Mus musculus: one gene and its partners. Each later gene encodes a partner of the first gene's protein in a complex. Links are inferred from orthologs where the notes say so. Each region holds a gene or a part of one and is shown in the gene's direction. Other genes may lie near its edges. The genes, in order: Ptpn22, Csk and Pstpip1.

Region 1 (4,920 bases):
TATAGTTAACTTAGGATTTTTAAAGTATTTAACTTTTGAGACAGTGTCTTGCTATATATAGTTCAGATAGGCCTGCACTTTGTAACCATTCTCCTATCTGAGCCTCCTCAGTGCTAGTGTTACAAGTATATTCCATTATACCCTGAAGAATGTTGTATTCTTTTTAAAAATAAAGCTTCCCCATATTTTGTATGTTTTAAAATAGTCAAATATTGCATCATTTAGAGTAGCAAGAAATTTCCTGTTGTTGCTAGACAAGGATAATCTCAGAGATTTGTTTTAGTCTCAGGAAATATTGCTGAAGAATTATGGTTCATTTTAATTTGTGTGAACTACATTTGAAATTCTTTATGTGAAATACTAACTTCAAATTGCCTGCCAAGGGTTCAATGAAGAGGGTGCAGCGTGTTTTGTGTTCAAAATCATGATTTTCTGAAGGGAGTTTGAATAGTGTAAAACCAGAAAGGGTTGCTAATATCTTAATAGAGGAAGTCCAAACTACACCTTTCCCAGTTTTTTTTTTTAACTTGAAACTAATTTTGTAACATTCTGTTTACTGAACTTCCTCATTTGCAAGGGTTTTCACACTGAATTAGATCTTGAGTGGATTTGTGCCCATCGAAGAGAGGATTTATGCAAACGGAGATGTGGAAGCATTCTCTGGAATAACCTGCCTTGTTAAGGCACTGATACCACAGATGTGGACGGCTCCCTGAAACGCGATCTTTTCTGAGATAGGCTCTGTAGGATCAAAATGTCAACATGTCTTCATGAATTCTTCAGCCTCTTTCATTCTTCCTCCCTCCCCTTCTGAGAGAGAGAGAGAGAGAGAGAGAGAGAGCGCTCACTTTGTTTCTCAGGTGTCTCAAACTCTGAGACTCAAGTGATCTTGCAGCTGGGGACAGTCCTGAGGAGCTGGGACTGCACCACCTCTCCTCAATTCTCTCCAGACAGGCTGACCTAGATAGAATCTGTATGGTTCTCAGCAAGCAATATTTTAGCTTTAGTTCCGTTTTGTCCTTTCGCTGTTTGCTAGCAGTGCGTTCTGGGGATATTGTGCTAACTGCCTCCCCGGTGCTTCCCATCCTGTGTAGAGCTGTACTCTCAGTGTTTGCAAAGCTACTGGAGGTCTGAAGAAGTACAGAGACCAACACTTCCCTTAATGAGGGCCAGTACTTCCCCAGTCACGGGTGAGATGGACCATCAGAAGCAGTGGACTTTGCTTCCTCTAAAAGAAAAACGTGAGGTTTATAATGGAAGCTTGACAAATTCTGAAACAAAATGCCCGCTTGATGAGCAGAGGTCTGCCATGATCATATCTATAGGAGACTTTGGGGATAATGGTCCGGGTCGGAGATAGGTAACTCCAGTGTTTGTCTCCTCTCCTGCAGCAGGGCATAGGTGGGCGTCACCCAGGCCTTTCTGCTCACTGGGATGTGAAAAGCTGAACTCACAGGTTAGTGCTGTACTTTCTGCCTTTCTTCTGGGAATGGAAGAACTGAGTGCTGTCTGAGACTGACAGCGTGGAACAGTCTCTGAGCTAAGCAGACCACAGTTTGTGTTCTGGTTAGCCTCTTGTTTGTTACATTTGAACAGTAGCCAAGTTTCTTTGTTGAGAAAGGAAGGCGCTAGGGCCCTGCAGGGAGATGATGGCTTTGTTGTGTGACCACAGAAGCTAGTTTTGTACTAATTTCCTCTAGGGCTTGTGATGAAGTCAGTAAACCACAGCCTCCAGCACGCTGTGCTCCTGCAGCAGCAGTGGCTTCTTGGTGCTGCCTTGGCCATGACACATATTTGACATGCCCTCCCTTAACCTACTCACAGACTCTTGCTCTGCGGCATGGACCAAAGAGAAATTCTGCAGCAACTACTGAAAGAAGCCCAGAAAAAGAAACTCAACAGTGAGGAGTTTGCCAGTGAATTTCTGGTGAGTTCTGGAATGCTCTGAAGAGTTCTTAGATAAACTGTGTAGCAGTCTGTGGTGGCCCAGTTTGCCTAGACGCAATTGCTGTAGGGATAACACGACCATGGAGTTTGGAGTGGAAGGGAGGAAGGCGACCTAAGAACATAACCTCTCTGGGCTTTGTTGTGTCTGTGCTCAGGGTTTTCTCCAGGTAGGCTGGTTTTAATGTTGGGTTTGCTTGTTCTTTTGAGCTTAATGGTCCTACAGAAGGTATAGACAGGTGTATGGATATTAATGCTTTCTGAACATCTGCAGAAAGCATTTGCATTGTGACATATGCTTCAGATTACTAATAAGAGTAGCTTTTCATGTTACGTGTTATTTTTAGCTTCCCTATAGGCTATCATTGGGATAACAGGGGTTTGAAAAACACCAAAAACTCTCATTTTGCCACTTTTTCTCCTATCCCTTTGAAAACAAGTTGATTATTAGAATAGGCATTTTCCTTTTTAACAATAGCTGGGCTTCTTTAACTTATATTGTCTGGAGAAGTGGGCTAGGGAGAGTGGGGAGTAGAGACACGTGAGAGACATGGAGAGCAAGGTAGCCTGGGAGCAGGTGGACTTGATTATCCAGAACTCAAATCCACTTAGAGGGAGCCATAGTTAACAGTGTAACAAAAGCTGGGCGGCCCATTTTCCATCCCTGTCAGGCACATCAGATAACATGGTATTTGACACACCTGTCATGCTTTTGGTTTTTGCTTAGTGTTTGTTTGTTTGTTTGTTTGTTTGTATCAGTATGTAGCTCTGTCTGGCCTAGAGCTCACTATGTAGATCAGGTTTGGCCTTGAACTTAAAAGATCCTCCTGCCTCTGCCTCACTGGGATCAAAGGCATGTACGACCACACCAACCTGCTGTGTTCTAAAAGCTTCTAATTGGTATTTCAGAACTGTAAGAATGTTAAGCCTTAGCCCTTCAGCTTTGAATTGAGAAAAATAAAGAACATCGACATGGTCATCATTCAAATTATCAAATATTTAACGTGTTCCCAAATCACCCTAACTCTTTGTTTTCTAGGTTAAAAAAATGAGGATAATAATTTATGTCCTATCTATCTCATTTTGGATTATTGTGATGATTATATCATTAATTATAATAATTAAATGAGAACAAGGTGTTTTGGAGGCACCCAGAGACCCAGTTACTTGGAAGGCTGAGGTGGGTTAAATCTTGAGTTCAAGGCTCGCCCAGGCGACTGAGAGGGACCGTGTCTCAGAAAAGGGATCATTTAGGAGCACTTACTATGTACCAACTTTGTTTCTTCACACTAAGATACAATAGTAAACAAAATGTCTTTGCCTTCCAGAACTAGCGTTCTGGCACCAGATATTAGAAGAGAAAACTATCCATGATGTTTTCACTGAACAGATATCACTATTAGATAGCACAGCAGGCTAGTATATAGTGGCCCAACTTTGAGGCTAAGATATTATGCCAGCTTATGGTGTCACTTAAATATTTTCTTTCTGCCACAAGTTCTCAGGGTAGTTTAGGCACAGGGTAGAGTTGCCTATGTGTCTACTTAGATCCAAGCATGCCTTTTGACTGTATCACTGAGACATTCTTAAGGCAATTTATTAAGATATAGAGGGGACGTGAGCTGAGAGGTAGTGACATCTTTGTCTTACTTGGGTTGTATTTTTCAAAACAGAGCAGACTATATCTCTAATATTTTAACCACTCGTAGAGGTCGTTATAGTCTCTTACCAAACTGGCTGCCACCTCCTGACTGCTTTCTCTGTTTCTAGCCTTGTCCCACCTTAATTTTCTTAGACAAGGACTCACTATGTAGCCATAGCTGGGCTGGAACTCACTGTATAGACGAGACTAGCCTTGAACTCAGAGATCCACCTTCTGTTTCCTGAGTGCTGAGATGAAAGGTGTACAATGGTGTACACCACCATGCCAGGCTCCAAAGTGCTCTTTTAATTACATAAATCTGGTCATATTTTTCTCAGCTTAAGAACTTTTTTATAGCTTGTATTTTGTTAGCTGCTTATAATTGTGAACTAAAATATATATTTAGAAAAACTACACAAAACATGTGAATATAGTTATAAAGGAACCAGTGCTAATGCGGTTACTGCACAGATCAAAAAATATAGCACTGTCTAACTTGGAGAGATTCCCTACTGTCCCTTCCACAACTGGCCTCTCCACCCACCCACCCCACCCCACCCCACCCCATTCCTCCACCCCATCCCACCCGGGTAAATCACTGTCCTGGGTTTATATTAATCATCTCCTTGCCCTTCTGGCTCCTTATACTTAAGAACCTTCTTTTGGGTGGTGATTAAGTGGAACCTCACTGTTCACTGACTCACGTCCTCCAGTGGAAAAACAAGAGTTTCACCCTCAGCCCCACCTAAAGGTTCAACTGAGACACCAGAAAAATAGCTTTGGGAGAGGAGCTGTTGGCCCAGGGAAATACTGCCATCCAACTGGAAGGTTTCCACTTGACTTCTGCCCACAGTCCACCTGAAGTTCTTGATGTTTGTGAGATTTCAGAATGAACTTTATGACGTAAAGGCACTGCTAGCAGCCTTAGTGGCTAGTATGATACAGCATTTATACTTAAATGTAGATTTTCTGTGCAACAACTCCCCCCACAAAACAAACAAACAAACAAACCAAGAAACAAAACCAAAAGGTTCCTTAACTCAGATTTCAGTCCTGACTTCTTTGTCGTTGTTAAGTTTTTATTGTTGTTTCGTTATGCAGCTCTCACTGCACTGGGATTCACTATGTAGACCAGGGTGGCCTCAGACTCTCAGAAGTCTGTCTGCCTCCTATGTAACAGAAGTAAAGGCGTGTACCATCAAGCACACCCTGCTCCTTTAAAGAAAGATTTGTATTTGGTGTGTGTATATGTGTTGTTTTGCCGGCATTTATATATTATGCATTTAGTGCCTGCCCAGTGCCTGTGGAAGCCAGAAGATGGAGTTGGATCCCTG
Region 2 (3,192 bases), on another chromosome or scaffold:
CTTACCCTAGAGGCTTGGAAACCCCAGACACCCACATCTAAAACTGTTTAGTCTGTGCCTGTCATCTCAAGTGCCTCAGATTAGCTGTTCACTTCACTTACACTCCGCCTCCCTCCCGGTCCCTGTCCCCAGGTGGCTGGGCACTGAACATGAAGGAACTGAAGCTGCTACAGACAATAGGGAAGGGGGAGTTTGGAGGTGAGTTGACGGAGCCCGGGAGAGGGGTTAGGTGGGGGGAGCCCTGGGAGTCCAGGAACTAGCCCCTGCCTCTCCTGCAGATGTGATGCTGGGGGATTACCGGGGCAACAAAGTTGCAGTCAAGTGCATCAAGAATGACGCAACTGCCCAGGCCTTCCTGGCTGAAGCCTCCGTCATGACGTGAGCTGGACTGCCTGGGTGGAGCACCGGGTGGGGGGTTGGCAGGCCGAACTCCTGACCACCCTGTCCTGCCACAGGCAACTTCGGCACAGCAACCTCGTCCAGCTGCTGGGTGTGATTGTGGAGGAGAAGGGTGGGCTCTACATCGTCACAGAGTACATGGCCAAGGTAGGTTCTCCTCAGCCTCACCCTGTTCCTCCCACAGCCCCTCCACTCTGCCTGGCCTGGCCAGTCGTTTATTGGCCAACTTTAAACAAGTCATGCGAGCCGGGCGTGGTGGCGCACGCCTTTAATCCCAGCACTCGGGAGGCAGAGGCAGGCGGATTTCTGAGTTTGAGGCCAGCCTGGTCTACAGAGTGAGTTCCAGGACAGCCAGAGCTACACAGAAACCCTGTCTCGAAAAACAAAACAAACAAACAAAAAACAAGTCATGCCAACCTTTTCAGACCTCCGTTTTCCCACCCATAAGTGGCCCAAAGATTGTGGGGTTGAATGGTATGAACACTCTATCACTAGTGTTCTGGCTCCTCCCTGCTCACCCCCTCCTGTCCCTTTCTGTCCCACCCGCAGGGGAGTTTGGTGGACTATCTTCGATCACGTGGTCGTTCGGTGCTAGGTGGAGACTGTCTCCTCAAATTCTCATTGTGAGTAGTGCAACCTGGGTGGGGGTAAGAACTTGAAGGAGCCCCCTGCCCTGCTATGAGTGGGAGTCCCCGTCTGAGGGACATGTGGCTGTCCTGCCCTCAGAGACGTCTGTGAAGCCATGGAGTACCTGGAGGGTAACAATTTTGTGCACCGGGACTTGGCTGCCCGGAATGTGCTGGTGTCTGAAGACAACGTGGCCAAAGTCAGTGACTTTGGCCTCACTAAGGAAGCCTCCAGCACTCAGGACACAGGCAAGCTGCCAGTCAAATGGACAGCGCCTGAAGCCTTGAGAGAGAAGGTGAGCGAGGGTCCTGGAACCACCCCTCTAGAGCTCCCTAGGACCCAATGCTGATTCTCTTCTCCACATGGCAGAAATTTTCCACCAAGTCTGATGTGTGGAGTTTCGGAATCCTTCTCTGGGAAATCTATTCCTTCGGGCGAGTGCCTTACCCAAGAATTGTGAGTATGGGTCTGGAGGCCAGTGTGTGGCTGAAGCCGAGGGAGGGTGGGGCGGCAAGAGCATCCCACGGGAACCGCCTGTCTGTCTGGAGCCTGGGCCTCTGGTCTGTCCTGAGTAGCCTCCAGGCCATTCCCTGACTTCTTAGAGAGGGGCTTCTGGGTAGGGCTCCCTCTGTAAGACGCTGAGCTGACTCACACACCATCTGCTCACAGCCCCTGAAGGACGTCGTCCCTCGGGTGGAAAAGGGCTATAAGATGGACGCTCCGGATGGCTGCCCGCCCGCAGTCTACGAGGTGATGAAGAACTGCTGGCACCTGGATGCTGCCACACGGCCCACGTTTTTGCAGCTTCGGGAACAGCTCGAGCACATCAAGACCCATGAGCTGCACCTGTGACCTCTGCCTCCGCCAAGGCCATGGGCCGGCAGGGACAGGGCCTCGGAGATTACAGATCTGGTGCCCTGCTGCTTGCTGGGCCTGAACTTGAACTGAGCCCCAGCCGGCTGGTAGGCCTCTTGCCTCTGACCTGCCTGTCCCTTCTGGCCCCCAGGGACCCCACCTAGGCCTGGCATCTTCTCTCATGGACCCACCTATAGGGCTTGGGGTGCCCACTGAAGGGGCTGAGGAGAGGAGGCCAAGGAACAGGAGGAGTGCCGTGCAGCTGGCCTCCTCAAGGCCCCACCATTCGCCTTCTTAGAGTTTTATTCCTTTCCTTTTTTGAGATTTTTTTCCGTGTGTTTATTTTTTATTATTTTTCAACATAAGGAGAAAGAAAGTACCCAGCAAATGGGCATTTTACAAGAAGTACGAATCTTATTTTTCCTGTCCTGCCCCTGGGGGTGGGGAGGAATCAGCCTCTCTCTAGGGACCCATCACCCCAGCCCGTCCCCCATCCCGTGTTCCATGTCCAGTGTTGCCTCGGTCGCCTGTGTTTGCGCTTGACCATGTTGCGCTGTTTGCATGTGCCCAAGGCAGGCGTCTGTCGGGGGCTTGGATTTCATGTGCTGTGGCCGCTCACCCACACCGCCTTGTGAGATGGAATCAATAAACCACTCCATGAGGACACCGCCACCCAGCCTCGGCGCTTCCTCCGCCGAGCCTGCCTGTCTGCCCAGTCGTCTTCCCATGCCATCTTGTCCATCCCCCTGTCTCTGTGAGTGGGGCTGAGAGGGAAGCATGGCCAGGAGATGTAACCGCCTCTTTGTGTCAGCTGCACGAGCCAGTGTCCTGTGTCTGCCCGTGGGGAAGTGCTCACCGCTGTCCATCTCTGCCAGCTACTACCCGAGCCTGAGCTCCTGGGCTGCCTCGGGCTCTGGGACCGGTCCTTGGTATGCTGCTGGGGATTCTGGCTGCTTCTGCCGTGTTGTCCAGGCCTGAAGCACAAAGAAGTGAAGTCCTGGCGTGGCCAGATGGGATGTGGCTCTGGGGTGAGAGCCCAGATAAACATGCCTCAGGCCACACTGACCTCAAGGGTGATGGGAAGGGGAGCCCCTGGGGCTTCTCACGTCTCATCTAACATGTGACAGCTTTGCTCTTCCCCACCCTACTGTGTGCCAAGCCCTGTGCCCTCTTGGGCTTTGCATGGAGCGAGGCACCTTTTGTCTGTCCCAGCTGGGACACACAGAGGGAGAATGAGGACCAGTCATGGGCTTTCCTCCCCCCAGGTTGTCCAGGGCCTGCAGAGCCGCAGTGGGTAGGAGAGCCTTGATT
Region 3 (4,184 bases), on another chromosome or scaffold:
GTGAAGTGACTTCGTGACTAGCCCACACTGAGAGAGCTCCACTGGCTACCTCCTCCTGTGCAGCCCTCAAACCAGCATTCCTGCCTCAGGCCTCACACTAGCTAGGGTCTCACAGGGTCCCCATAAATGACAGGAAGTTTTAGTCACACCTTAGAATGAGTTTTCTCACTCCTCACTCCTGTTACCGTAGTGAACCTGCCTGAGCCCCTGTGTGGCTTTTGGTGCATTGTAAGGACAGGCTAGGTATTTCAGGAGCTGTCATGATACCGCACACACCATGATCAGCCTTCCTGTCTGGTCCTCTGCTTCTGCCCAGACCCTCACCTTGCTCAAGAAGTAGTCACCTCCTCCCACTCTTCTTCTTGCCACACCAGGAGGGATGCTGTGGGTGCCTTGGAGAACAGAGTGGACCTTGGCCAATGTCCTGTGAGCCCCTCTGTGGTTACAGATGAGCAACATTAGCCCATGGGCACCTTAAAGCCCACCTGACCTTCACCCCTCCTAAACACAAGTGCTGAGATGGTCCCATCAGAGGAGATTTCATGTGTTTTATGATCTCTGCTCCACTGAGATCAGGGTGAAGGCATGTCTCCTAGTGAGGAGCAGTTATACTGTGAAACTAGACTTCAGCTAGAGTTTCCAGGTCTCCTGAGAGCCAAGCTACAGACTAGCAGGTTGTGTTGCACGTTTGCACATTGGTGATAAATGCCGAAAGTCAGAATCATTCTAACCTGTGGTCACCTTCCTCTGCAAGGCTAGCCTTGACATTTTATCTTTTAGGATTTGCATTTGTATGTCTGCTGTGCGGATGTGTGCAGGGGCCCGTGGAGGCCAGTGGTGATGGCTAGGGCTGGGGTTACAGGGCTGCGAGCCATCTGATGTGGGTGCAAGAACCAAATGTGCTCTTAACCCCTGAGCCATCGATAAGTGCAGCCCTTGGCCTTGAGGTTTTGCCTCTTACCACCTGGATGGCTTTTGGCCTCAGTGACTCAGTTTCCTTATCTGTAAATGGCTTGTGGGCCCGAGGCGGAAACCATTCAGGCTATCCTCATCCTGAGTGTGTCAGCACTGGAAGGTTAGGACTAAGTGGTCAGCGGTTGGTCACTGGCAGAGGCCTGCACATCTGCATATCTCATGGCTCCCAGGCTGTTGCTACTGCTCCATGGTCTTGTCAGGCAAGACACCTGGCAGTAACTAGGACCCCATAATCCTCCTTAGGGCCTGGATCTCCAGGGGTCCTCTCAGGTTGCCACTCCTCCTTGGCCTCAATGTCCCCAACTGTTCAGAGAGAAGAGGAAGCCCCCATGGAACATATTCATCCTACCCCGGAAGGAAGCACAGGCAGGTGGGCTTCCCTTACAGTTCACCCAGGGAATTGGTTATGTGACAGGTGCCACATGACTATATTACCACCAGGGGGCGGAAGAGCGCCCTGCAGAGAGGCAGTGAAAGCTTGCAACAAGGGCGCTACTTAGCTCTCGATGCTGAGCGTGGAGCAGGCTGTGCCACCATGCGTTTGCTTTTGTGTCCTTAAGAGACGTAGTACCCCTAAGCCCAAGCTGGGAGCGCAGAGGCACATCTCCCTCACATGCACGGCCTGATGTCACTCAGCTGCCGGAGAGGCTCTGGGAAAGGACGGAAGCTGGTGTAGCCAGGCAGAGACTCCTCCTACCTGAAGTTAAGGATGCCGCTTCTGGGAAGGCGCCACTGGAAAACTCTTCCAAAGTGCAACTGGGGTTAGAGGAAGACCTAGTTCGGCTGCTGGTGCCTGGGGGATGTCCTGGGGACTGGCGGAGTTTGCATATGTGTGAGTGTGACAGGCATGTTAAGCTCCTGACTTGCGCCAGGCTTCAACGATGCCTTATAGTGAGTGGACTATCATTCTCAAAACCACTTTGTGCTGCTAACTGCTCACCATAGAAGGGAAGTCAAGGCAGAGGGCCAGGTGGCTTGCCCAGGGTCACACAGTGAATAAGTGGTAGAGCCTGGCCATCTGGCTACAGGGTGTGCTGCTTTTGTGTGTGGAGACCGGAGTAAGAGGCCACCGCAGATTTCCTAGGTTGGTTCCCACACACACTATCTGCCCCCTCCTCTGAATGGAGCACATGCCTCTCGAGGGCCCTGCTCCTGAGAGCTTGGACTCGCGCTCACAGTTTCCGTATTGGCCCCAGGACTCCGATACCCACCGATAAACAGCAGTGTGTGCTGGCCGAGCCGGCATCTCTGCTTGGCCCTCAGCGCTACCATGCTCTGGGGTGAACAAGGCTGCCGGAGAGAATCCAGGGCGCCCAGTGTGCTGTTCAAGTAAACTGAGCAGAGTGGGGATTTCTGTGGGAAGGGGGTGGGAGCAGTTGGGACAGAGTCTTTTTTTTTTTTTTTTTTTTTTTTGGTCGCTTATGATGACCTTAAACTTGTGGCCTGTCTGCCTCTGCTGCCCAGGTGTCACCCCCACTTGCCCAGGGGCTTCCACTTTACCTGGCAGCCTCTCCTGCTTGAGCACTGTTCTAGCTCCCATACAGCCTCCTCCTTCCCCTCCCCTTGGTACCCAGCCTGAAGCAGATGCCATAGCTGTCCCTGGCTCTGTCCCTGCCCACCTCCCAGCCTTTCCTTATGCCTTCCATGCCACCTGCTGGAAAGAGCTATAAAGACCTTCCCCTGCGTCAGATTCATCCAGGCAATATTGAGTATAACCAGGTGCCTGCATGGGCGGAAGTCTCATAGAGGCTGGGAGCTTCCTGTGGACACACCCCTCTTCTCTGGGCTGCAAAGACATGGGGAGTGAGAAAGTGGGGGACAGAACTGCCGTAGCAAGGAGGCTTTCCCACCACAGCAAGGTTCCACTGCTTTTTAATTTACAAAGAAAACTGTTTTCTAGAATGTCAGTTGGGGGTTACATGAATGATGACCATGGCCAAAGGTCCCTTGCATCCATAGTAGTCAATATGGCTTAGGGCCCTCCCTCCAAAATAAAACACCATGGGTCAGGCAGGACGCCAGGCTCCTGCAGCATGCTGTCTACTGACCTAGACTTCTGTTTTGCAGTTCCCTGAGGACCTCCTTTGACTCCCTGAAGCAGCGTAAGTTCCAACCATCCCCACATGGGCAGCAGGGCCATTAGGGTCTCCTGGAAGACCCTTAGCCCTTGTATGGGGTGACTAAGTTAGGAGCTATGTGCTTGGGCTGTGGTCCAGCTCTGTGCCAGGCTGAAAGGCTGATGGAAGATGTGAGGGTGGGAGGTAGGGTGAGGGAGACAGACTGGTCCAAGCAGAGGCCACGCTGTCACCCTAGAAACAGAGAATGTGGGCAGTGCACACATCCAGCTGGCCCTGGCCCTGCGTGAGGAGCTGCGGAGCCTGGAGGAGTTCCGAGAGAGACAGAAAGAGCAGCGGAAGAAGGTGAGGGGGTGGGGAGGGCGAAGGAGGGGAGGTGGGGGACCCCCCCAGAGGCCACCCACTCACTGTTCTGGGGGCCAGTTGGGAAGCATGGCTTGATGAAGGGGGGAGAGTGTGTGTATGTTCTAGCTTGCTTTCCTGTTGCTGTGATAAACCCCTGACTTGGGAAGAAAGGTTTATCTTCTCAGGTCACACTCCATCACTGAGTGAAGTTAGGGCAGGAACCTAGAGGCAGGAACTGGAGCAGAACCGAGAGAAGGAATGTTTCCTGGCTTTGCTCCCAGCTCATGTTCAGCCCCGGTTTTCTCACATAGCCCAGGTCTACCACAGAGCTGCCAGGAGCCAGGAAGAGAAAGGGTGTGGAGCTTTTAGACGATCCTCCTTCATACTGTGTGATTAAGTATCCAACCTGAGTTGAGTGGCCCCTGGAAGCTGGCTCTGAACACAAGGATTAGGGCTGCTGGTTCTGGAGACAGGCAGACTTGGGGCCCGTAGTCTGCATGGCTGCTCAACAAGGAGCGGGGAGACAGTTCCGAGGGAAAGCGCAGGCATCAGACTTGCCTCAGCATCTGAAGCTCTGCTCAGCAATACACAGAGCATGGCTGGCCACACGTGGAGTGGCTACATAGCCAGGAAGTGAGCTCCTCCTAGTGGGCTGGTGGTGTGTAAACACAGGCTGGGGGATGCTCTGCAGGGAGGCTGACAAAGCTGGAGGTAGGCAAGTCCTCTCCCAGACCTGCGACGGATGGATGGGCTGAGCACTTAGCCCACCTGGAGAGCAAGAGGTTACTT

The links.
Region 2: the proteins of Ptpn22 (region 1) and Csk are in contact, whole or in part, in an NMR structure (PDB 1JEG), measured with the Mus musculus proteins. Residues at the interface, in NP_033005.1 of Mus musculus: Pro614, Pro615, Leu616, Pro617, Glu618, Arg619, Thr620, Glu622, Ser623, Phe624, Ile625, Val626, Val627; in NP_001291690.1 of Mus musculus: Phe20, Thr23, Gln26, Ala40, Val41, Thr42, Lys43, Asp44, Asn46, Trp47, Ile59, Pro61, Asn63, Tyr64.
Region 3: the proteins of Ptpn22 (region 1) and Pstpip1 are in contact, whole or in part, in a crystal structure (PDB 7AAM), measured with the Homo sapiens proteins. The link is inferred for Mus musculus from reciprocal best matches to the Homo sapiens genes PTPN22 and PSTPIP1. Residues at the interface, in NP_057051.4 of Homo sapiens: Ser793, Lys794, Pro795, Gly797, Pro798, Arg799, Asn800, Pro801, Pro802, Trp805, Asn806; in NP_003969.2 of Homo sapiens: Thr225, Arg228, Asn229, Trp232, Asn236, Ser239, Met240, Cys242, Val243, Asp246.

The regions. Positions count from the first base shown.
Region 1 is NC_000069.6:103,858,564-103,863,483, forward strand, and holds the start of Ptpn22 (tyrosine-protein phosphatase non-receptor type 22), read left to right. Parts: upstream 1-1,713; 5' UTR 1,714-1,840; coding exon 1,841-1,927; intron 1,928-4,920. UniProt on the Homo sapiens protein: Acts as a negative regulator of T-cell receptor (TCR) signaling by direct dephosphorylation of the Src family kinases LCK and FYN, ITAMs of the TCRz/CD3 complex, as well as ZAP70, VAV, VCP and other key signaling molecules.
Region 2 is NC_000075.6:57,626,007-57,629,198, reverse strand, and holds the end of Csk (tyrosine-protein kinase CSK), read left to right. Parts: intron 1-132; coding exon 133-198; intron 199-278; coding exon 279-378; intron 379-455; coding exon 456-546; intron 547-948; coding exon 949-1,022; intron 1,023-1,125; coding exon 1,126-1,321; intron 1,322-1,395; coding exon 1,396-1,482; intron 1,483-1,695; coding exon 1,696-1,878; 3' UTR 1,879-2,553; downstream 2,554-3,192. UniProt on the Homo sapiens protein: Non-receptor tyrosine-protein kinase that plays an important role in the regulation of cell growth, differentiation, migration and immune response.
Region 3 is NC_000075.6:56,117,259-56,121,442, forward strand, and holds part of Pstpip1 (proline-serine-threonine phosphatase-interacting protein 1), read left to right. Parts: intron 1-1,218; exon of another isoform or gene 1,219-1,268; coding exon of another isoform or gene 1,269-1,345; intron 1,346-3,042; coding exon 3,043-3,077; intron 3,078-3,288; coding exon 3,289-3,395; intron 3,396-4,184. UniProt on the Homo sapiens protein: Involved in regulation of the actin cytoskeleton. May regulate WAS actin-bundling activity. Bridges the interaction between ABL1 and PTPN18 leading to ABL1 dephosphorylation.